4 linked regions of the Schizosaccharomyces pombe genome follow. The gene in region 1 interacts genetically with each later gene. Each region holds a gene or a part of one and is shown in the gene's direction. Other genes may lie near its edges.

The links.
Region 2: of ppb1 (region 1) and trp1322, extra expression of one rescues a mutant of the other (dosage rescue), as found in Schizosaccharomyces pombe (one study listed by BioGRID).
Region 3: mutations in ppb1 (region 1) and imp2 are lethal when combined (synthetic lethality), as found in Schizosaccharomyces pombe (2 studies listed by BioGRID).
Region 4: of ppb1 (region 1) and pxl1, a mutation in one rescues a mutant of the other (synthetic rescue), as found in Schizosaccharomyces pombe (one study listed by BioGRID).

What each region holds. Positions count from the first base shown.
Region 1 is NC_003423.3:2,871,143-2,877,174, forward strand, and holds ppb1 (calcium-dependent serine/threonine protein phosphatase calcineurin catalytic subunit Ppb1), read left to right. Parts: upstream 1-2,779; 5' UTR 2,780-2,854; coding exon 2,855-2,993; exon of another isoform or gene 2,994-3,037; coding exon 3,038-3,244; exon of another isoform or gene 3,245-3,398; coding exon 3,399-4,717; 3' UTR 4,718-4,967; downstream 4,968-6,032. Other genes in the region: oxa102 (translocase Oxa101), read left to right, coding at 756-1,985; S-adenosylmethionine decarboxylase proenzyme Spe2, read right to left, coding at 5,091-6,032. UniProt on the Schizosaccharomyces pombe protein: Calcium-dependent, calmodulin-stimulated protein phosphatase. This subunit may have a role in the calmodulin activation of calcineurin. Appears to be involved in cytokinesis, mating, transport, nuclear and spindle pole body positioning, and cell shape.
Region 2 is NC_003421.2:1,284,521-1,292,311, forward strand, and holds trp1322 (TRP-like ion channel protein), read left to right. Parts: upstream 1-3,369; 5' UTR 3,370-3,616; coding exon 3,617-6,205; 3' UTR 6,206-7,291; downstream 7,292-7,791. Other genes in the region: rpm1 (3' ssRNA-specific 3'-to-5' exonuclease), read left to right, coding at 1-1,515; pxd1 (protein Pdx1), read left to right, coding at 1,830-2,885; fyu1 (UTP-glucose-1-phosphate uridylyltransferase), read left to right, coding at 7,658-7,791.
Region 3 is NC_003423.3:3,345,966-3,350,952, forward strand, and holds imp2 (F-BAR domain protein Imp2), read left to right. Parts: upstream 1-1,934; 5' UTR 1,935-2,015; coding exon 2,016-2,084; exon of another isoform or gene 2,085-2,178; coding exon 2,179-2,270; exon of another isoform or gene 2,271-2,335; coding exon 2,336-4,008; exon of another isoform or gene 4,009-4,056; coding exon 4,057-4,235; 3' UTR 4,236-4,487; downstream 4,488-4,987. Other genes in the region: SPOM_SPBC11C11.01 (U2-associated protein), read left to right, coding at 1-323; protein tam11, read right to left, coding at 664-852; protein Ndc80, read left to right, coding at 4,883-4,910, 4,960-4,987. UniProt on the Schizosaccharomyces pombe protein: Required for normal septation. Involved in the disassembly of the medial ring during septation.
Region 4 is NC_003423.3:2,709,538-2,715,404, forward strand, and holds pxl1 (paxillin-like protein Pxl1), read left to right. Parts: upstream 1-2,630; 5' UTR 2,631-2,974; coding exon 2,975-3,003; intron 3,004-3,059; coding exon 3,060-4,347; 3' UTR 4,348-4,670; downstream 4,671-5,867. Other genes in the region: asn2 (asparagine synthase), read right to left, coding at 311-1,957; erb1 (WD repeat/BOP1NT protein), read right to left, coding at 4,887-5,867.

The sequences.
Region 1 (6,032 bases):
GTACTATGATGTCGTACAGTATTGCCAATTTATTGCAGTAAATACACATACTAAATTTGTTGACAGTATAACGATAAATCGTTATCTTTCATTAATATTGACAATTCATAAGTATTGTCACTGCAATTCGTTAGTATTAATATCCACTATTACTCACTATAACTAAACATGTACTATAGTCATATTCTATTCATGTTTAACCAAAGACTCGTTTCTCAATATACCAAGGAAATGTAAAAAAAAAAAATAAGAGAACTCGCTTAAATCTTTATATCCTCTTTAGAATCAATAACCGCTTTTGCCATAACTTCTAAATCAAAAAACACATGTATCACTAACTTCTTTGTAACATAAACCAATGTCATTATTGGTCAAACGATCGCTTTGCTAGTTTATTTTCATTGTTGACTTTGACGCTTGTGTCAGATTTAACTGTGTGAAACAATCTAATTATAAATAGTCAAAAAATAGTATGTATTTACTTATATAACGACAGATACCACACTACACCGTGTGCCAACGCGCACACAACTAAATTTCAATATCTCTACTACCTTTTCAGGTTATTTTACCAGTTAATTTACCCACTTTTAACTTGCAATTAAATTTTTATTAGAGGATTTTGGATCTATTTATATGTTTTTTTGGGTTTAATCGCTTCATTTTATTTTTGGGTATCTTGGATAAACATTAGCTGGTTCTTCGATTTGTAAAAACATATATCCTTGAAGTTCGAGCTTCACTATTAATCAAGCATGTTTTCAGTCATTGGAAGAGGAATAAAGTTTTCTTCGAAATCTCATTACTCGGTATCATGCTTTTTGATTGCTACACAAGGAGCGAAGATTCGCCAGATCCACACACATAATACATTTTTTAAGAATTTCTCTTTTGCTAAGCTTGGCCGAAATCAGCGTACTTCTTCCTTAATAAAAATTCACAACTCTTCGACTTCTTTCCCCAAATCTAGGTCCGAGAAAGTGGTTTACACTCCTAGTCTGCCATTGTCGTCCTCCGTCTTAGCATCTTTTTCTTTCTTACCTCATAATATCCTCCAAAACGGCCTTAATACGCTTCATATTTGGAGCGGCCTTCCTTGGTGGGCTTCAATTGCTGCATGTGCTGTTGCTATGAGAATTGCAGTATTTCCTATTATGTTAAAGATGATGAAAACGTCCGCAAAGCTCGCTATCATTAACCCAAAGGTTGCTGAACACATGAGTGTGTTGAGTAAAGCAAAGGCTGAAGGAAACAGCGAATTAATGATGCAAGCTACCACTCAAATCCAAAACCTTTATAAAGTTAACAATGTTAACCCTTTGAATTTGCTTTCTGCTCCTGTATTTCAGGGAATTCTGTTTATTAGCTTTTTTTACGCGTTGAAGACAATGGCGGGTGTACCTGTAGAGGGTTTCACTGATGGTGGTTTTTGGTGGGTTAATGATTTATCCCAGCCTGATCCTCTACACATATTTCCGGTTGCAAACGGCCTTCTTATGCTGCTCAATATAGAGCTTGGTAGCGAAACTGGAAGTAATAAGGTTGCTATGTCTCCCTCAATGAAAAAATTTTTTAGATTTCTTTGCCTTGCCAGTCCACTATTCACTATGAATTTTCCTATGGCAATTTTTATGTATTGGTTTCCTAGCAATGTCTTCAGTGTATTTCAAGGGGCATTTTTGCGTTCATCCACCATAAGGCATAAACTTGGCTTACCAGAAGTCCCATCTGCTATGCCAGTACCGAACGCTCAAAATGAATCGTTTGTTAAGTCATTTACCGATATTGTCCATGGGGTTCAAGAAAAAGGTAAATACCCACAAGCCTCTGAAATACTAGATGCTACACGTTTCCTTAAAACCGATACAAACAATGAGCAAAAACCTACTAATAATAGTACAATTACCAAAGCTACTACGCTATCTGATAATTCTCAAAATGACAAGTCCTCTTCTGTTACCAAACCCACCGAGAAGAAAGATTAAGCTTTTTTGTGTGCTTTGGAATTCTCTTTCTTAGAAGTGTTCCAATGTCCTATTGAGAGCATAAAAGTTTGTAAGATATGGTTAATTTTTTACATTTGTTGCATTATTCATTTCTTTCCTTTGGCTTTATCCCATAATTTTACATATGTTTTAGTTTTTGCATATATCTTCACACTTGCAACACTCTTTTCTATTTCCTTTACTTCTAATAAAATACCCAAATTTACATTTATTTTGCTTATTCTTTCTAAAAATCGCTTTTGTCTAATTCTTTACTACGGAAAGCGATGAGAAATCAAAGAATATTTACAATAACCTAAAATTTGACGTAGCCGTCTAAACAAAAAATAAAATGATTATTAACTCTTAAAGTGTTTTATGGATATTTATTTTATCAATAAAACTATCGTTATTTCAGTTAGGTAATCATGGAATGTAAGTTTCATCAAATCAACTTAGTTTGCTTCTCTCAAAAATGAGCAAGGCAATATAATTAGGAAGGAATTCAGGTAGTATTTGGGTTCCCTTTCTACAAGTTCATTTCTTATTACTAACACGATTGGTTATTAAGATATGTTTGTCTAAGCGGCGATTGTTTGTAAATTTTTAAATATACAGAAGTAAAGATTATGATGAAATATATCTATATTATAAAAAAAAAAAAAAGTACTTAGAATTGTAAACAGATATGTTTTTTGTTCACATGGTTCATTGAGAAAAGCAATTACGAATTTCTTTGCTTTTCGTTAAACCATTTTCCAAAACCGCCGGGACGATGTAAGTATAACAAACCAGAATCTACCAAAACTTTTTGCAAGAATATCTAGCATTTTACCCAGGCTGTATATAGGCTTGCAAAAGTTACTAATATGACTTCGGGTCCTCATAATTTAGAAGACCCAATAGTTCGAGCAATTCGCCAAAAAAATCAAGCTCCTTCTCATGATTTTACAATATTTGTTCAAGAAGATGGCTCTAGTGTTAGCACACTGGATAGAGTAGTGAAAAGTACGGATATTTTTGAAAGAAATTAGTCTTATTAACAATCAAAGATGTTCAAGCACCAGCAACTTATATTCCGACGGACGTGGAGTTTTTTGATATTAATGAACCTGATAAACCTGACTTGCATTTTCTTCGCAATCATTTCATTCGGGAAGGCCGTTTATCTGAGGAACAAACGTTGTATATTATAAAAAAGGCTACAGAAATTTTGAAGTCAGAAGACAACTTGATTGAGGTGGATGCACCTGTCACTGGTATGTTGATTATCACCTTTCATATTTAGGCCCTAATTACTATAAGGTAAAATATTAGAACTTTGAAATGTAATTTATGACTATGTTTTTCCTTCATTTTAATTTGGGTCGATATTTTGTTTGTATTGCAATATTCTTCGGTCTGACAGCTTAGTATGCGGTGACATTCACGGCCAATATTATGATCTTATGAAACTATTTGAAGTTGGAGGTAATCCAGCAAATACCCAATATCTTTTCCTTGGAGATTACGTGGATCGAGGATATTTCTCAATTGAGTGTTTATTGTACTTGTGGGCTTTGAAAATATGGTATCCGAAAACGCTTTGGTTGCTTCGTGGCAATCACGAATGCGCTCATCTTACTGACTATTTTACCTTCAAGTTAGAATGTACTCATAAGTATAATATTAAAGTTTATGAAGCTTGTTTACAATCTTTTAATGCCCTTCCTTTGGCAGCTATTATGAATAAGCAATTTTTATGTGTACATGGTGGATTATCACCCGAACTACATACTTTGAATGATATACGAATGATCAATCGTTTTTGTGAGCCTCCAACTCATGGGTTGATGTGTGATTTACTCTGGTCTGATCCCCTTGAAGATTTTGGATCGGAAAAATCAAACAAGCATTTTATTCATAATAATGTTCGTGGCTGTTCTTACTTTTATAGTTACCAAGCTGTTTGCACCTTCTTAGAAAACAATAATCTCCTCTCCGTTATTCGTGCTCATGAAGCTCAAGATGTGGGCTATCGAATGTATCGCAAAACTAAAACAACCGGGTTTCCATCTTTGATGACCATATTTTCAGCACCCAACTATTTGGATGTTTACAATAATAAAGCTGCTGTTTTGAAATACGAAAATAATGTAATGAATATAAGACAATTTAATTGTTCCCCTCATCCTTACTGGCTTCCTAACTTTATGGATGTTTTTACTTGGAGTCTTCCATTTGTGGGCGAAAAAGTTTCTGAAATGTTGATTTCAATGCTCAATATATGTTCTAAGGAGGAGCTTTATGAAACGGATTTGAAAGAATCGGCTCCGACTCAGCATAAACAGCCTGCTCCATCTGAGAATGAAAATAAAGCCGACCAAGAAATTGATATTGAAGCTCGTAGGCAAATTATTAAAAACAAGATTATGGCTATTGGCCGTATCTCTCGAGTATTCAGTGTGCTTAGAGAAGAACGGGAAAGTGTTTCGGAACTGAAAAACGTGTCAGGTACGCAAAGATTACCTGCGGGTACTTTAATGTTGGGAGCTGAGGGTATCAAAAATGCTATCAATTCCTTCGATGATGCTCGTAAGCTGGATATCCAAAATGAACGTTTACCGCCATCTAATAGCCGTCGACGTTCTACGGATTTAAAGGCTTTCGAAGAAGTAATGAATTCGTCTGAAGATGATACCTCTATCGATCATTTGGTAGAACGCTTTGCAGATAAGAAAAGCTCTTTGTAGATACCAAAACCTGCGCATATTCGTTTTTTAGTTGGAATTTTTCAATGAGCATAAACCTGATCCGAGGTTTTAAGCATACTTACAACAAATATCTAAACACTCAAAATAAAGAAAGCAAATGAGTTTACTTTAGCATAATACAAGATAACCGATGACTAGATACATAAGCATTGCATTTAGATATTCATAATAAACTTTTTGGTATTCATAACTATGAAACCTTTTATAAAACAAGCAAACAAAAGACGACTACTTTTTGCATAATGAAAGATTGTAAAAAGGGGTATTCGCATGGCACGCTCCACCGTAAAAAAGAATGATAATAAATATAGCAACAGATAATTTAAAATATCTAGCTGACTGTTCTCCGAACTTATACTGCAGTAAAGCTGGCAAATATAAGATCATATCCAGGAAAGTCATACACTATAAATTCTTCACGCTTATAAGAGCTAAAAGATTTAAGTTTGGCCGAGAAATGCTTCTCTTGAGACGCACCTTTAGCCTGGAAAAGGGTAAGACAAAATTTGTTTGCACCAAAAGTTTTAACAGTTTTTTCGATTGTTTCAGATATGGATCTTCCGAATTGGAATTGCGAAACATTTGTTTCAAATGAAGCATAAGAACAATGTTCTTGAGGCGTAACATGGATTGTGGCATAGCGGTCCTTGTAAATCATATTCGACGAGAACCCAATTGGCTCAAATTGAAAAGCATCAAGCACTGCTTTTTTATCAGAGGTACTACATAAGTCTCTAACACCCGATTCATCAGCTACATAACTGCCAAGGATGTGACCCCCCGAGAGATTGTTTTTTTCTCGAACATAGTCATCACCTCTAGCGCTCCGAACAACATCCAAGGATGGAGCGTAAAACTGAAGCGAGCGTTCGGGAGACATATCAGTCATGAGTACCTCTAGGGTCTCATCTTCAGGATCAAGGGAATCTTCCAGTAAAGAATAATCATCAGCCAGATCAGAAAACAGATGCCAGTGATTCTTGTTTGTCGGACCCACTACATAAGAGCATCCACTTGGAAAAAACAGTTGTAAGTAACGAACTTCTTCCTCCCAACTCGTATGTGGTGCAAGCTGGCGTTCGGGATATAAAAAGTTTTTTCTTGAGTAAAAAATACGAAGAGGACGATCAAAGCCAACACTAGAAGCAATTTCTAATAGGCGAGGCAAACTAGCCAGTAGTGTAGTGGTTCCGCATGTTTTAAGGATAATTTTATGGGCAAACACAAACATAGAGGATTCAGAAAGTAAATATGCATCTATTTCTTCACTATTAACAACGCTGAGGACTTTACA
Region 2 (7,791 bases), on another chromosome or scaffold:
TCATGGCAGCCCCCGAGGTTGTTTCAACAGGAATACAGCATTGCTGGCCTTGGTACTAATCCTCAGTTAGATGCTGTGTATGAACGTGAGTGTAATCACTTTAAAAAGTTTGTAAAAAATGAATTAAAAGATTCACTTGAATCGCAACGCGTCGATTTAAGGCATCTTAAAGCGTTCGCCTTTGATAGTTCTTCTACGAAAGAGATAGATGATGCGATTTCGGTTGAAGAATTAGGGATGTCTAATTCCTGGCTTCATATCCATGTTGCTAATCCTACGAGTACAGTTGACATTCGCAGTCCTTTAGGCACGTTTGCTGAAAGGAACTTTCAAACTATTTATCATCCCAACAAAATTGTGTATATGCTACCTCTCAATATCACTCAGAAATATTGGAGTTTAGATTCATCTTCTACAGCTCAAAGAGCATTAACTTTTAGTGCTAAAATTTCAAAAAATGGCGATATACTTGATTACAAGGTTCGGCCTAGCTTCATTTCCTCAGTTATCAAATACACACCCCAACAACTGGATAAAGCTTTGCATAGTAATCGATCAATTGCGAAAGACATCGTTTCTGGACCAGTGGATGAGGAAACAAAAGGAGTATCAAATGATCACATGAAAGATATATTAAGAATATATGAACTTTCGAAACAAGCCTGTTTTTCTAGGTTACAAAAGTTTGCGTTTGTTATTGCACAACCCACTCCGACAGTTGAATTGCTGCCTAATAATGTCCCTTATAATCTTGGTGATCTGAATCATCCAGTATACTGGTCTTCCTTCCCTACAATTAGTTTGAACGTTAGTGAAGGGTATAGCTTGGCAGAATCAGTAATATCAGAGTGCATGATATTGGCTGGCCGGGTTTCATCATTATTTTTTCAAGAACATAAATTACCTGGGATTTTTAGGGGCCAGCCTTATCCAATTATGGATGGTGTACGAAGAAAAGCGTTTGAAACTTTGTTAAGTAACAGGTCATCTTGGGGACTCGTTGAAACTAAGTATTCACTTTCTGTAATGCCTTTATTTGAAAGTTCACATTTAGCCTCCACACCTGTTTCCCACTTTTCTTTGGGGCTAAAGGATGGCTATATTCAGTCTACCTCTCCTTTACGCCGGTTTACCGACTTCTTCACTCATCATCAGATTCAGTCGGTATTATTAAAGACTCCAAAAAATACTATACCTGATGGTATTCTTCGTGGAAAACTAAATTTGTACAACCAAAAAGAAAAATCAATTAAAACTATAGGAAGATACATTAATCGTTTCTGGGCCTTAAAATATATAGAGAGACTTCCAAAGGTACAAAAAAATATTTATCATGGATATTTAATGGTTTCAGAACTTTCAACACCTCAGGTCATGTTGGAAGAATTGGGTGTTAAAGCGCATATTGATATTCTCCCGGACGAAGCATTCCGGTTAGCAAATACTCGCCAGGCATTTACAATTAAGGATGTCTTTCCGGAGTCTAATATCCTATTAGTTGCTTTAGCGACCTAACAAACTTATTAAAACTATTTTTATGGATATAATTTTACTTAATTAAATACTCAATCCTGCATTTTATCAATTTACCGAGACTTAACGATATAAATAAATTATGTTTTGGGATTTGATAGTAACCTGTTTCGCCAAAACTCATCTCAAAAACCAACAGGTAGTTTTACTATGAAGTCTCTTTGTTAACCTTGACTCTTGTGATTAAAATATATTTTCTTTTTCTATTTTTTGTAAGACAAGAAGCAAATGTCTTTGGATGCTTATAAATCCATCGACGAAGTGTGCTGCGTTGTTTAAAATCTAAGTTAAGAAAAATGATTGAATCTAAAGGTGAAACAGCACCCTCTTTAAATTTAAACGACGTTAATGTTGAAGAAAATGATGCTGCGCAAAGTTTTGCAGAGAAGGTTCAGCGGTTTCGATACCAGATGAAAGTCCATGCAGCACCGCGACAGAAAACGCTGCATTCTTTCCTGAAAAAGGATAATGCTAATATTCATGACTTTACTAAAGTTGAGAAACCACACATTCGTTCTTCTAAATCGAAGGTTTCTTATAACAGTATTACATCAAGAGTTACCAAATATTTTGAAGAAAAAAATAATTCCGTTGATCAATTGCATTCAGAAAGCTTGACCCCATTAAGCTTTGGCCATACCATTCCCAAGAAAAAGCCGTTACTTATGACGGCTTCTGTTTCAGAAGATTCTAGAGTTCGTGTTAGTAAGAGACAATTTAAGTCCAAAGTTGTTCATCCAGAAATTGCTATTTCTATTGCTAAAAGGCATAAGCCAAAGTTTCCTCTGTCTGATGAACTCATGAATGTCGAACCTGGGTTCCACCACAGCAATATCGGTTGTCAAATTACGCCTTACTTATGGATATCATCATTTAGAACTAATGTCTATTACCTAATTGGAAATGAGGGTGACTTATTGTCCCAACAAGTACCTTCGATAAGTGGGGAGTTAAACATGTTGAGAGGAGTATGCACCCGTATCGATGATGATAATCGCTATGATATTGAACAAGCTGGTTCTTGTTTTGGTATGTCGGTATTTCCAACCTCTGATTCTGGAGAAGAGTCTTTTACCACCCTTGAGTCCGATCCGATAGTTAATTGCGAACACGATGAAAAGAAAGTTGCTGATAATCTCCTGGTTCCTCAAGTAATGTGTTCTTCTAATATTTCAACGTTCTTTCGAAGCCCTGGTGGAAAAAAGTTGTATCATTATTTATGGAAAAATTCAAATGCCCTACGTATTTCCTCAAACGACCTTCTCGAAATACTTTTAAAGCACGGTGTTTATGTATCTTTGGACACTCTGCACTCGTGGCTTCAGGAAAGAAACGTAAATTTTGAAAAGTGAAATATTTATGTTAGACTAAGTATAGCAAACTTTTGGCGAGCTGGTCCCGTAATGATGATTTAATGTACGTTATATATCTAACAAGTCAAGAATATTATTTCAATAATTTTAAATGTATATATTTATGTGATAAGTTAGAACTAAAAATAACGAGTAGATAGCTTGTCTTAATTTTGAAGGACCAAAGCAGAAGGGACTTTATGACTCGAGTTTTAAACGTCTTTGAGAACGTTACTGAGTTCTTCTTGTCTTATTTGTTTTTTTTTATATCTCAATAGCGCTGTATGGTTTATAATATATGCATATAAAGCGCTAATGTTAGGACCTTTTCTTGAGCAGATTTGTCTTTGGAAAATAACGAAATAGTATATTATTATGTTATTTATTTAACGAGCCGGAAATTTTTCATAAAATTTCACTAACGTGCTGCGTAGTTAATCTTTATTATCTAATACTAGGACAAGGAACGCGAGAGCATGTGTTTGTCATTAACTACACACACGAGAAATAGCAATTTATGTGTTTCGCGTCTCTGGCCTACTTATATCTTACAAAGCATTCATTTTTTGAAACCTTCTTTTCTTTCTAAATAACTGCATTTGTAATTGCTCAAATTACCAACCCTGAGCAGTTAAAGTCTTTTTCAAATTTCGTTTCATAGAGAATCAAAAGAATTCAAGGTTGGATCTATTTATATTAAAATTTATTAGAATGTTTGTGTTTGGATAATAATGAAGCCTCGCCCGTACTCTGTTTTCCTCTTTCTTCATATCGTTTTTTACAGCCTTCTTTCAGCAGTGAATGGATCCCCAAGTTTGGATTATTTTGAGACTTGTTCAAACTTTGTACCGAGAGCAGGTATTCCTACCTTTAGCCCATATGCAGTTATCAAGAATTTTGATGAAGTGAATCGGATGTACTACATTCAAGTAGTGGGGAATTTATCCGGAGTTATAACGATTGTGGGTGGAAATGGCTCACATATTCACGCTGCTTCAGTTTATTCGGAAACTTATGCGTTAGGAAAACTGGTCACATCCAATACCACAAAGCTTTGTGATGTTGTTATGGATCCTCATTCTTTTGAAGTCCCCATAAAATGTCCTTGGGCAGCTGGAAGTGCCGCTTTCATGGTTAAAGTTCCCTTTAAATCCACCTTGTCCGATTACTCAAAATACGAATTGACTACATTAACAACGCGAGTAATCGTTGTTGACGGTACTCCCGAGAAAAATGTAATAACTTGTATGAAGTTTGGTTTGTCCACAACTTTGTATTATTTTTATCCAGTTATTTCATATTTGGTTGTTGTGTCGCTCGCATATGTCTCGTTTTCCATTATTTATGCTCTTTTTTTAAATCCATGGACCGGCAGTTTAGATCCATTTAAGTCGATTTTTAATTTTAATATGGACCCTGATGCTCTTCGTTTAACATCCCTTGGATTTTTTGATTTTGTGCAATACTTGCAATTTGCTGTTTCTACAGCTCAGGTTAGTGTTATGTTTCCAAAATTTTACATAAATATTATGGCTGCTCTTTCTTGGGGCACTGCTCTATTTCGATTTCCCATTTTCTCCGAGCCTGCTGAATATCAATTTGCAGACTTTGCCGACTTGTCTGTAGCATCCTCTAGTTATGCGGATTATTTGCCTAAGTCATATGGCATGTATTCGTTTCTCGATTCTATAGGAATAGGTACTGCATGCTGGCTTCCGTTTCTTATAGTCATGGTTATTTACTTATTTGCTGCGTTATTTGTAGCATTGTTGGTTATTTTTTTGAAATGGCTTATGTCTAGAATTTTCAATGAAACTATTGCCGAAACTCGGTGGGATACTTGGAGCTTCATTGCTGGTTCTCTGATACGTCTTTACTTCTTGACATATTTCCCTACCGTCGCTTATATGTCATTCCAGTTTGTCGCACCGCCCACAGGTTATGAAATTATCCCCGTTTTGTGGTTTATCTTTTTTGGAATCTTTATTCCGGTGTATTTATATATGAATCTCGCTTTTGTTGAACCATCGTCCAAACTTCTTGAAGATCAAACATATTTGCATTTATTTGGCTCTATATACAATTCGTTTCGAGAAGAGAGAGTTATGTTTTGGATCTTTCCAATTGCCGTACAATTTATGCGTGGTATTACGGTTGGTGTCATAGGAAGTTCCGGCTCTGCACAATTAGCCATATTCTTTATACTTGAAGTTGCTAATGTCGTGGCGTATGCTTATGTGCGACCACATTTCCCGCAGACGAGTATGAATACGTTAAACACCTTCATCTCTACCATGCGCTTGATCACGGTTATTCTAATGATTCCCTTAGATCCTCGATTAAAGGTTCTTGGCATTAGTAGAGATTTACTGGCCTATGCAATTTTGTTTATTCACATAATGGTTTGTATCCTTTTCTTACTTCTGTCAACTCAACGATTTATGGAAGTCAGTGCACGGTTATTAGGTGCTAAAAGTGAGAGTAAAGGTGTCCCACTCGATCGACCATTTGGTTGGGCCAGGGTATTTGGTATTAATGAATTGAGACGCCGGCGTCTTAAGGATCCATATTCCAATGGCAACACAATGATGTTTGATCATTCTACCTACAACTCAAATGAAATGTCAGTGCCACTTACGCCAGTCTCCGTTTGTTCTAATTCCCTTAAGAAGGATGGCGAGGCTGCTCCGCCAAAATTATTCGTTCAGACTAACTGTATTCCTCCAGTTACGCAAGCGTCGAGTCTTGTCCCTTCTAAGAACAATACAGCATCTTCAAGTAGTCTAATGTTGGATTCTCCTGTTACTCCCAGTTCTCCATACAGCACATCACAAGGATATTCATTTTACCGTCCACCTAAACCAAAGTCATCTGTTCGTAAACGGGACATGGATCAACTACGTGCTTTACAATTAGACTTTTTAAACAACAAGCCTAATTTACTACGCCATGATGTTAATTACGCGGTTCGTGAGGCCGATGTCTATCATCCACACGTAGACACAAGTATTGACAGTCTATCGCAAATCTCTTCGCAACCATTTGAAATGAGGCCCACTGCTATTCCACCTCCTCCGAAAAATGCATTTCAACGGGCGTGGCAAATTGTCCAATCAACAGCTAAGTCCATATGGCACTCAGACCCCCCGAAAGAATCTGAAAAAGGTTTCGTCGTTTTACGTTCTCGTCCACGGCCAAATTTGCAAAAGCCTCTTCCTCAGTTGCATATAGAGCCTTCCCGTGATGAACAGTACTCCATGGAGAGAAAGAAAACCGATGACTCATTAGCGGAGTCAGCCTGGTCGATTCCACATCCATAACTCCACTTTCGTTCGTTAATGTTTATGATTTGTGAGAATTTTGTTTTGTTCTTTTATTTTCACTTTTCATTTTTCATTGTTACACTTTACTTTTGCTGTTTCTTATTTCGAAATACGGAACGTATTCTTTTTTTAATTTATTTCAGTCACATTTTGAACCTCTAATTGTTTCTTTTTGAAACGTTTTTTTTCGCTATTATGACGGTAATCCTATTTTTTCTCTTACCTGTCTGCTCTCTTACTACTTCATTTCATTAAAGCTTGCATTTTTTTTTCCTCTCCCATACAGTTTCATTTACTAAAGGCCAAATTTAATAATCCCAAAATCTCGACTTTTGTTGTCTTAATATAGCACAAGTGCTTTCTTTGCTCTATCGGCAGCCCATTAAAGTCGAAATTTTTTTTCGTTCAATTTCGTATATTTTGTTGTTGTTGTTGTTCCTTTTATTTTAATTAGCATTTTCTATTATCCACCTGCCTTTTCATACCAATCTAATGCTCGTTTTTTCCCTAAATCTTTTTTCGTTAACCTTTTATGGTTCTTACATTTTCTCAGTTATCAAGTTAGCTAACTTTCTTTAACTCACATTTCTTTATTATATAAGGTTTTTTTTCATTAAAGAAGCTTGCTTAATAATTCGTTTTTTTTTGTTTTTCGTTTTTTTGCTGACAACTTCAAATCCATATTACTTTCGCCTCGCTCTGCTTAGCAGAACCTTTGTTTGAATTTCTACTCGCCTTCCTTGGCCTTTTTTTGCATACACTAACTAACTAGTTGGTTCATTTTTAGAGATCTACTGCGTTTTGCATATAGTTAGTTAATAATGTTCATATTTTAGAGCCATTTTCCATCCTCCATCGGCTAATAAGTGGTGTTTTCCGTCTACATTAAGTACCTCTCTTTATGAATAATATTCTTATATCGGATATTTCCAAACTTTTCGTGTACATTCGATTTCGATAGCTGTTGCGATGTTGCCTAGGTAACTACGTATAAAACCTTGGAACACGGTAATTGATTATTGATAATTTGTTTACGTACGGCGAAAACCCCACCAATTGATTTCCGCCGTCATAACAACCCACTTTCTTGTTGTAAACAAATTTGTAAATAAATAAAAATTTTACTTGCGTTCAGCAAGCATGTTTTTCGCAATAAACCTTTAGAATGCGACGTTGGAATAGATTGAAATTTTTTGTAGATTTATTAATGTCATGTATGATTTAACAAACGTTTATCGTCCGTTTGGCCATGCTCAAAGTTGAAAATTGTCGGTTGTTGTTTACACGTAATCTAAACAAATGTCGACAGGAAAGGTGACGTAAGTGCCGCTATATAAAACGAGCACCTACTTGTAACTTACTCTCTCCGTATATCATAACAAACATTGAAATTGTTTGTTTTAGAGGTTTAAAGAGAACGTTTTAACTTCGAAAAGAGACAGAAGCACTATGGATTTGGCACCACGTCCCCTCGGTCGTCAGCACAGCAAGTCGCAATCGGCTTTTGCTTTTGACAACACCGCTACCAGTATTGCTGCCAGTACTATGAAGAATGAGCTGAATCACTTGGCTAGCACCGTAAA
Region 3 (4,987 bases), 470 kb from region 1:
CATGGAGAAATTTTTCGGGAAATACCCCTCAATCACCACAAATAAATTCTGCTGCTTTGAAAGTGGAAACAAAGAATAGCTGGACAGCAATTTCTGAAGAGACTGAAGGACTTCAAGATGACGAAGAGTATAATGGTATTCCTGTCGATGTAAACGAATTGTTAAACGTAGAATTCATATCGCAAATACCAATGAGTACGGAAACAAGCTCCAGTTCAAGCCCGCAGCCTACGGAGGAACGGAAAGCAAAGTTCAAACCCAGTTTTACTCAAGGCACATTCGTCTCAAAGCGCATGCGTATGCATGCGGAGGATTTATTCTAGAAAATAGAAGAATGCAATTGATAAAAAAGAACTACACTTCTACAATTTAGAATATCGCTTTTCATATAAACAAGGTATGACTGATGTTAAATTTATCCATTTTTAACTACCCGTAATACTATTATACTTTAATGACAACGATTTTTGTTTTCTCTTTCATCAAGCATTGTATTGAATAACTTATAGACGAAGAATGCTATTGCTGCTGTGCAAACTGGCTTTATCAATTCGATATATAAACAGTTTTCGCCATGCATGGCTAAGATCGTAAAGTTCAGCATCACAAAAAGTTGGAGGATCATGTTTTAAAAGTGAGTATAAGTACTTGTAATTTTAGACACTACATTTTAGCAGGGGCTTCATCGGCTTTCGCCTCAGCACTTCTCTTGGAGTCGGCAGTATCGCTTTCCGACTTTACTGCTTTTCCAACGTCATCAAAAAAGTTGTTAATTCCATGTCGCACACGTTCAATACCATAAACAATCTTGTGGTCGGCTTTACGAACGTCTTCTTTACCTTCGCGTTCCATTATTTATAATTTCAGAGGATGTACAAAAAATTCAAGGTTGGTCGTATTATCAAAACTTCGCAAATGTATAGGGACAAAAGCAATTAATAACTTTAATCTCACCTAGTGTTTAAGTGTGATAGAATGAGTATTTATCACCAGTTGTTTTGTTAAAGAATAAACCGCCGAAGCCGGGCGGCTGCTGTATATATAGTAAACATATCAGCGTCCCTACCGCCAACCCATGACGTAAGTCGGGTTATTAAGAAATGCGATCTCGTGAAATAAAAAATAAGATTGAAAATAATGGAAATTGGAAGAAAAACCGAGAATTACAAGGGCGTTTTGTATGTACCTGATAAATGAATATGTTTAATCTATTTGACTCACATAAACGTTGTATTTATGTTTTTTTTAGTGTTTATTTATTTTTTCGATTAGTGTATTTCACTAAGTAAACAAATTATTATACGATTTTTTATTCACATCGAATGATGCTGCAGGTACAAATCGAGCTATCTAAAAAATATTACTTTTCAGTACGCCTGAACCGCTTGCATAGTATATTAAGTTTTTGATTAATAGCATGTTGCATTCCATTCAAAAATTTAATATTTTACATAGTAAAACGATTTGAGACGGGAGATAGCTATACAGAACGTGAAGTCTGCAAATACATACATGCTAAATCATTGTTTTATTAGCATAATGTCTAAGTCTATAAGTTCGCTTACCGGAGTTTATGGTAAGTATTTTTTTTCAGGACTGCCTTGGGTCGCTTCTCAAATCACAGTATTCACACATAATCAATACAAAATAGTGAGCAAAACTTGTGCGCTTAACAGAGATAACAATTATAGAGTCTCAAGGATGAATAAAGTGGACTTTGAATGAATCAATTGTTCACCATATATATCTCAGCATTTGAAGGCTTTTTATCTTTCCACTGCAATATTCTATTGCTTTTTTTTGATAGTTTAAGGCTGAAAAATCTTCATTACATCGGTTTTCTTGATAAATTTGTTAATTGTTGACATGAAAAGCTGCACCTGGCAACGCGTTGCCGTTTGTTTACCTCGTTGTTAGTTTCATTTACAATCAACACCACCACCATATACGAATAAAGAATACTGCCATAAAGGCGAGATTGAAAAATCTCTTAATTCGTGTTTTTTTCCGTTTACATGTCTCAACAATTAAGCTTTAATGCATCTTCAGCAAAGCCTGATAAAAGTTTTTCAAATTACTTTTGGGTATGGTGTCTAAGCCAACGTGGATAGCTCATTATCTGCCAAAACTTTCGATTTTTGTGTTAAACACAACACCTTAACTAACATTCTTTATTAGGGTGCAAATGATGAGGGTTATCATGCTTTACTTTCGCGTTTTAGCGATGTGAAACACATTAATGAAGAGCTTCGGTCGTTTTATCATGAAAGGTGAGAAATTTGAGGTGAAGCAGGGTTTAACATGCTATGATCGTTTATTCTAACTTCAACCTTAGAGCGAACATTGAAGAAGATTATGCCAAGCGAATGGCAAAGTTGTCTCGAACAACCTTCAGTTCTTTGGAAACTGGTTGCCTCAAAGAATCAGTCCAAGTTATGAAAGCTGAAGTTGACAATATGGCAAAGTCTCATTTGCAGATTTCTCAGTTGCTTCAGGATGATGTCGAAAATGCGTTTACGCGGTACGCTGCCTCTTTAAAGGACAAGAAAAAGATGATCGTTTCGGGGATAGAAAAAGTTCATAAGGATAAACTCTCCAAGCATCAAGCTCTTGTTAAAGCTCAAGACAAATACCATTACTTGTGCAAGAAAGTAAATTACTATGTTTCTCAGCAAAACATGCTTTTCGGAAAGGAGCTAGAGAAGAACAATGCGAAATTAAACAAGACTCAGAATGCTATCACTGCTAGTTCTTCTGACTATCAATCAGCTGTAGCAGCTGTCAGAGATTCATACGCTCGTTGGACCAACGAATGGCGGTCAACCTGTGACAAACTTCAGGACATTGAAGAAGAAAGAAGACATTTCCTGAAAAGCGTCATGTGGACATTTACACTACTTATCTCTCGTAGTTGCTTTAATGATGATCAAGCATGTGAACGAATTCGCAAAAATCTTGAACAGTGCAGTGTCTCTCAGGATGTTTTGGAATTTATTGACGCAAAATCTACAGGAACGGGAATTCCTCAACCTCCAAAATTTTATGACTATTATAAGGGCGAGGTTCCCGATGATTCTGTAGAGTTGGTTCAGGCTAATTTTCAGCGGGCCCAAACCAAAATAGAAAATGACAACATGCCATTGAATCGTCCATACGTCCTTTCTGCCACCGCTCGTAATGAGTCGTCCTTCGAAAATACCCTTCCTAATACTCCTAGTGCAATTCAATCGCTTACCACTGTTTCTTCTAACTCTTCCCAAAATGGTAGAAGCTCTCCAAAGAAAAGCTTTTTGAGTAAGTTTAAATTAACGAGTCGTCCTTCGACTCCAAACGTTGGTAATACGGCTCCGGATGCATTATCAAGTCCGAGAAATGACTCTCCTTTAACTTCAGCGGCTGATGAACAGATGAAGCATCTTTCTTTACAAGAAGAGCCAAAACAGAATCCTACGCCTGCTGCTCCTGGTGCCTTCCCTAACTCTAATACACTACCACCAAGGTATAACGAACTTGGTTCTCTACCAAGTCCTAATTCTGTTTCTTTCACCGAGGACTCCCGCCCAAATGTTAACACTCCATCACGGCGTCAACAAATTCAGGAAGAATTTGGTAGTGTACTACAAATGGAGAATCGTGCGGTTTCACCCGTTTATGATTCAAGAAAGAATGGATCTCGAAGTTCATTCACATTGAGGAAAAGTAGGTCACCAAAACGTCCTTCCTCTTCCCTTTCTCAGAATGCCAGCCGACTTCCTCGTTCCTTAACACCAGGAAATTTAGAGCCAAATTATGATTTCGGTGTTCGAGTTGATCCAGCAAGTGGTACTGCACCTACCGATGACGAGCCTTATACTGATCGGGACTCTTCCTTTGTTGATGATACAATAAATACAAAAGCTACTGGAAACACGTCTAACCGACTTTCTTTACCTGCATATCCTACAGACGGCGGTGACACCAGTATTGATAATCCAACAAGTACAGATGGTCAACGTATTCTTGGTTATGGTATGTCTAATCTGTCCATCGCTATTACAATTACTAACTTGAATTTAGTATCTGCTTTATATGATTATGATGCTGCAATACCCGAAGAGATAAGCTTCAGGAAGGGAGATACCATTGCAGTTCTTAAGCTTTATGAAGACGGCTGGTGGGAGGGATTTGTCGTTGGAGAGGATGACCATAACCGTGGGCAATTTCCGTCAAATTTTGTTCGTGAAATCGAGGTTTAGCTTTCGTATTATAGTTTCGCATTTTCTCATCTTTTCTCATTCTCATTTAAATCTAAAATACTAGATTTCTAATTTTGGTTGTTTTACATTATAGGATATTTAGAATGCTACACGTTTAGTTAAGTTATCTACATTATAAGATTATTATCTTATAAATCTTTATGAATTTTGCAGATTAAAATGATACCGATTGTTATATATAGCATTATGTTCAAAATGATTGAATTATTGTCATTCATTGCACCATTTTCTACCTAAATATTTCTAGTAATTCTCGTTTGCTTCTAAAATTCTGTAATAACTTAAAAAACATCAAATCTTTACCAATCTAAGTTAACACACAGGTCTATAATAGCTTCATGTATAACTAATTACTATTTCCTAGTAAGCTGTGACAACGTGGCCGAGTGGTTTTAAGGCGTTCGCCTGCTATTCTGTAGCCCAGCGGATTCCCTTTGGGAGCGCAGGTTCGAATCCTGCCGTTGTCGATATCTTTTTTAAGTTGCAAAGCGATTCACTATAAATTTTTGCGGTTCTATATTGGAAATCGCTATTCACTGTTATTTTTGTTACTTAGCAAAGTGGTTTTGTTGTTATAACTAACGTCTCCAACGATAAAAGACAACAATCTGCTTGTATTACTATAAATGCAAGATTCTTCCTCTTACGCGAGGCGTATGTTTTCTTTTTTTTCTTTTGACTAATAAGTTAACAATAAGTTTAGGGTATTCACAGGCACCTTCTTCATCTAA
Region 4 (5,867 bases), 160 kb from region 1:
TACCCATTCTCCCATCGTTCATGAAGAGCAGCCAGTGGATGATGGATTACAACAAAATGATGACCTGCGAGAGGCAACAACAGCGTCTCTTGAGACAGCTGAAGCTGAAAGGCTACAAGCTCGGGAAAAGGCTGAAGCAATTACGGCTTTAAGAGCTATGTTTCCAGCGTTTGACAGTGAAGTGATTGAAGTTGTGTTAAATGCGCAACAAGGAAGGCTTAGTTCATCTATTGATTCCCTTTTGGAGATGAGTTAACATTTGTAGTTTTATGAAATACTCAAGTATAATTTATTATTATTATTATTATTTTTAAATACAAACTTCTAACTTTTTACGACCTGATGTTCTACCGGTTCCAGGAGTCATCTTTGCTGCTTTAGAACCAAACTGAATAGCCCTCTTTTTTTCTTGACTAGCTAAGGGACAACCTAATCGACGTCCTAATTCACGTAAAATTAGTTTGTCACCTCCAACTAAATCTAGACGCATTTTATCAGTAGTTTTCATTTTGCTAAACAAAGCCATCAGACGCTCATCGAGAAAAGGATAACGCACCTCTTTCCCTTGATTAGACATTACCCTGTCATCTCTGCCCAAGTTACGATGTGGAATACGATCAATGTCCAATTGCAGTTCTTCTTCAAGACCGGCCATACCTTTCCGTTCAAACGCTCGTAGGTGCCGCATATAACCACCGAGCTGCTCATCAGCCCCCAGGCCACTGATGAGGACTTTAGCTTTTATAGTATAGGAAGGTAATTGATGTTTCAGTTTGATATCATCCACGTTTTGTAAAAGTACACCACGCCCTTGTGAAGCAAAATAAAAAGCTAATCCAATAGAAAGATCCATAACTGAATCGTTCGGATAGATAAGTGTTTTGACTATTTCCTGTGCTTCACATACTTCTGTATAAGGAACGTTTATAGCAACAAAATTCCATTTTCGAGCAGGGCAAACTGAAATAAGCTCCTGCCAGCCTTGTAATCCAGTTTGTCTATCAGGACATACGTCGTATGCATCAAAATTGTCAGGAAGAAGTCCCGTCTCTCTGTCACGGTATGTCTCTGTAAATCTTGGGTTTTCAAAAGCCACATTAATTAAATCGATGGACTCGTTATTGGGAACTATGTCGTGCATTAGCCGTGCTAATACACCGCAATCCACTCCCCCAGAGTAAAGAACGCAAACTCGGCTATAATGACTACAGTCAAGGTTTGAAGAGCACAGTTTGGGGATTGTTAAAACTCTATCTTGAAGCGCTTTGATAAGATATGTATGCAATGTGTCCACAGTGTCTGAAGAGATTGAGCCCATGAGAAAGGACTCATCCACAGGAGGAAGAGGGTTTGTTTTTTCCAGTTGCATTAATGATTTAGAGAAGTTAATTTTTGGGATCAAGTCCACCTGCACACTATGAAACCCAGGCTCAACTTCTCGGAAATCACTAGAATTTCCTACACTTGAGAGAACGAAATTACTATCTCGTAAACTATACAAAAGGGATCTTCTTCCTAAGCGATCTCTTCCCCACCACAATGTGTTTGTACGAACTTGGTAGTAAACAAAAGCAAAAGGTCCTTGAATACTTCCCAAAATTTTTTCAATGTCGCCCGGGTTATTGTTTAAAAGTTCAAAAAGTTTTGCACCGTCGTTTTCATTACGATTGAGCGTAAATTTGTGATGATCGCTATGGTTTATTTGCCAAATTTCTCCATTCCAACACAAAACGTTTCCAAAACTGTCAACATGAGGTTGAGGCGTTAAATGATCAGAAGGGCCACGTAAATGCAAAACGCTTGACTCAAAGTGCAAATTCCAAGGTCCGCTATTCAATTTATGCTTACCAAAAAAATCAGGTCCTCTAGCCCGAATCCTTTTTCGTAAAGCTGAAAAAGATGGACTTTCAAGAAGATTATCTCTGTCTTCCGCTAAGGCGAAAAGAATTCCGCACATAAACTATTCTCAAACACTTTTGCTTCTAACAAATCTACAGTCAAAAAAGTGTTTTTTCCTTTAACGACGTTTGTGTGGTACAGTGTGATCGTAATTTTATATACAATATCATTTTGCGACACATTGCAACGCTTATAAGTAACTACACACTGAACAGACTCACGGGTCTACATATTTTTTCTTATACAATTATACTTACAACTGGTAAAGAATTTTCTTAGGTCAATCTGTAGCTTGAAAGCCAAAATTAGGTTTCTATTTATGAAACAATAAGCGAAATGCTGTATGCCTGACAAAGCATAATGGGGTAGTTAATGACATTTAAAGAGCTGTAACAATACAGTAAGCATTAATAACGCGCTCCACAATAATCTACTGCCAAAGTATAAAAAAAATAAATTATAAAAAGATATTGTACCATATTATGAAATCGCAACATATAAAATTGTCCAACAAATAACATTGATTTCGTTTGGAACATTTTCTGCATAGGAATGGCTTAATTCACTTTAATTACTAATATATTCGCATTTTTTTACTTTCTGCTGGTATACAAACATTGAATACGTACTCTCTAAGTATTCGTTAAAGGTACAATGTTACCTATTATGAGGCTGGTTTCTATAACAACGAATGTTTGTTTATATTTTGGAATATACACTTAAACAAAGCCAACACTTATTAGCTAAAACACTTTGGATAAAGCAAATATTACTGCTTTCTAAATAATAACTACTTGCTTACAATTGCATTTTTTTAATACAGCTAGTTTTTTTGGGGGACTCCGCTCTTTGAGATATATATCCTTACGTTGGCAACAATTTTCTATAAGTTAATCCCAGCTTGATTTTTGTTTTTCCTTCCTTATCCTTCTCTTCCTATTTTTTATCTTGTTTTTAAGTGTTGCGGCTAGATTTATACCCTGCGAGCTTGGCTATCCTGATTTCTTAAGGTTGTCAACGATCCTGAATTCTTTCCGTTGATTAGTGTCCTGATAGTTGAGAAGCATATCAGCAAATGCATTCACCAATTCCAGAATTACCAAGGTAATCTATTGTCTTATTGTTATTACCCAATTAGGTATCTAACTTCGTTTTTGTAGATTTGAACGTCGATTGACTGGTCCTCGTGCTGCTCCTTCTTCGCCGGTCTCTACTAATGGCTCCCCGCTAAACAATTTAGTTCGTTCTCGGTTATCTGATGGAGCACTTAACTTTACTGGAGGTCGAATAGCTACACCATTACCGCAACCAAGTTTGAAGACTCCTGAATCTCCTTTGTCCAAGAGGAATCCAACAATAAAACAAAATCGTGTACGTTTTGATCTGCCTGATGACGAGCTCTCTCGTTCTAATGTTTCGTCGCCGGAAAAAACACTACTAACCTCTGCTTCTACTTCTACTTTCGATAGCTTAAAAAAGGAGCTTTTACCTGAATTGCCATCTCTTGCATACAGTGACGACGATGAGTTTCCTAGTTCGCCGGAGGAATTGAATTCACATGTTAATTATCCAGACGTACGAAATGTTTACGATTGTCATACCGGTTTACAGCCGCTTGTTGATCATGATTGCATTGAAGACAGACAAAAAACCTTCGCATCCAAACAACTTCCTACTCTTCCTTTACAGAAATCCAGTAAACTTTCCAATCGTAGACCCGCTTTGCATTCTTTTCATTCTGCTCCTGCTAATAGCTTATATCCTTTGCCCACCCCCACTTCACAATTGCCTAGCAACTTGTCCTCAAATAATTTATTTCAATCAGATTCACTTAAGCCTTCAATGGTATCTTCTCATACATCTACAAAACCAGTTCTTTATAGAGGCAATTCTGAAAAATCCTGTCATAGTTGCGGCGGTTCTTTACGCGCTGGCAGAATAATTAGTGCTTCAGGAAAGAAATTACACCCTCAATGCTTCAAATGCGATACTTGTTCCCAGAACTTAGAGCACGTTGGATTTTATTACCGCGAGGGAAAATTTTATTGTCATCTAGACTATCATGAACAGTTCAGTCCTCGCTGTAAGCACTGCAAAACCCCAATTGAAGACCAAGCGGTCCATATCAACAATGATTGGTTTCATGAAAATCATCATTTTTGCGCTGGTTGCTCTGAAGTTTTTAATGTAAATATACCCTGTATTTACCGTGACGACCTATACTGGTGTCAGACTTGTTATGATAATAAGTATGCTGTTAAGTGCAAGAAATGCCGTAAACCCATTTTGGGGATCAGTGTAAAAGGGTCTGATGGTGAATATCATAGCCAATGTTGGACCTGCGGAGCTTGTAATGCCCTACTTGGAGATGAGGGTTATTTTATGATAGAAAATACCCCTATTTGCCGTCCTTGCAAGGCGATATCAGTCAAGTTTAATTTGGATTAACTCAGACTTACTCATCACTTTCTTTTTCTTTTTTTTTTGTTATTTTTTCACTTCTTTCATCGATTTTAGCTTTATAAGGAAAGCTGTCTTGGAAATCTTGGAGATTTTAAATCATTTCATTTAATCCACAAAGTCCAGCATGTTTACTTGCATTTAAACTTGCTGTATTTTTATAATTAAGCAATTAATGATTAGGTAACTATAGATATATAAAAAGCACTATTGAATTTCAACGGTTACGATTTTTGATATCACGTAATACTTAAATACTTTAGATAACTTACCAAAAAATAAAAAATAAAAACATATTCAGTTTGCACAAATGCATTTTAAACTTTCGAAAACCCCTATATTCCTATTAAATATCCAAAATCAAGTACGAAAACAATCTTTTCGACTTGTTAGCAAAACTATAATACAGCATTGAAAAAGTATCTTTTGCAGTAAACACTACCAAACATTATTTTTAAAAGTAGAGTTTTTCTAAATTTTAAAGCAAGTGAAGAAAACAAAAATATTTAAGACGTTTCAAACCTTTTTCAAGTCCACATCCGAATTTCTCCACCAGCACCTGCACTGAATAACCAGGCTTCTTTTGGATGCCAGCATGTGGATAAAACACCGACATTATCAACCACTTTATGATTCCGCAAAATCTTAAGAGGAACAATCAAGGGATTAGCCAGAAGGTCACTGTAAACACGACCGTGGAACACTTGAACATCACCATCATCAGAGCCAGAGCAAAATAGTGGAAGGGAAGGATGATATGAGACATCGCGAAGAGCACGTGAATGATATCGAAGATTTTTATATGGTTTAGAAGAAAAGTCTAAGTCGAACCAACATAGCCTTTTATCATAGGAACCTATTATGACATGGTCCCCACTCGAATGGACACTTAAACTCGAAACCCATTTGACACCAGTTAACAAGGTCTTTACAAGCTCTTGCTTAACAAGATTGTATATGCGGACATATCGTTGAGTAGCAACCAGAAGATAAGGCATAGTAGGGTGAAACGTAACAGCTTGCACAGAACCTTTAGACTTAGAAAATGGCGATTGACTTGCACCTCTTGACAACTGATGAATAAGAACCGCCTGGCTAGAAGAAGTAGGAGAAGAAGTAGCTAGGTAATCACCGCGACGATGCCAAGACAAGGACTTAATGCTACTGGGAGTAGAAACAGTAGCATGGACTATACCACCATGTAATTGTAAAGATTGTTTGGCTCCTCTTCTCCATATTGCACTAGATTCTTGGTAAGGAGCAGAAGTAAACAATTCTTTAGAAGCTTCAATCTGCTCGTCAGAAAAGATCGGGGGTGTGATGAAATAGACTGTTTCATCAACAGCAACAGCAAGCACTGGACTATCTGAAAGAGGTCCCCAAGCAAGTGATTGAATTATAGAGCTCTTTGTAGAGTGACTTAAAGATTCATTAACCGCATCCTCATCGCTATCAATATTATGTGCATTACCAAAACTGTCCAAGCTGCATTTCCAAACACAACGACC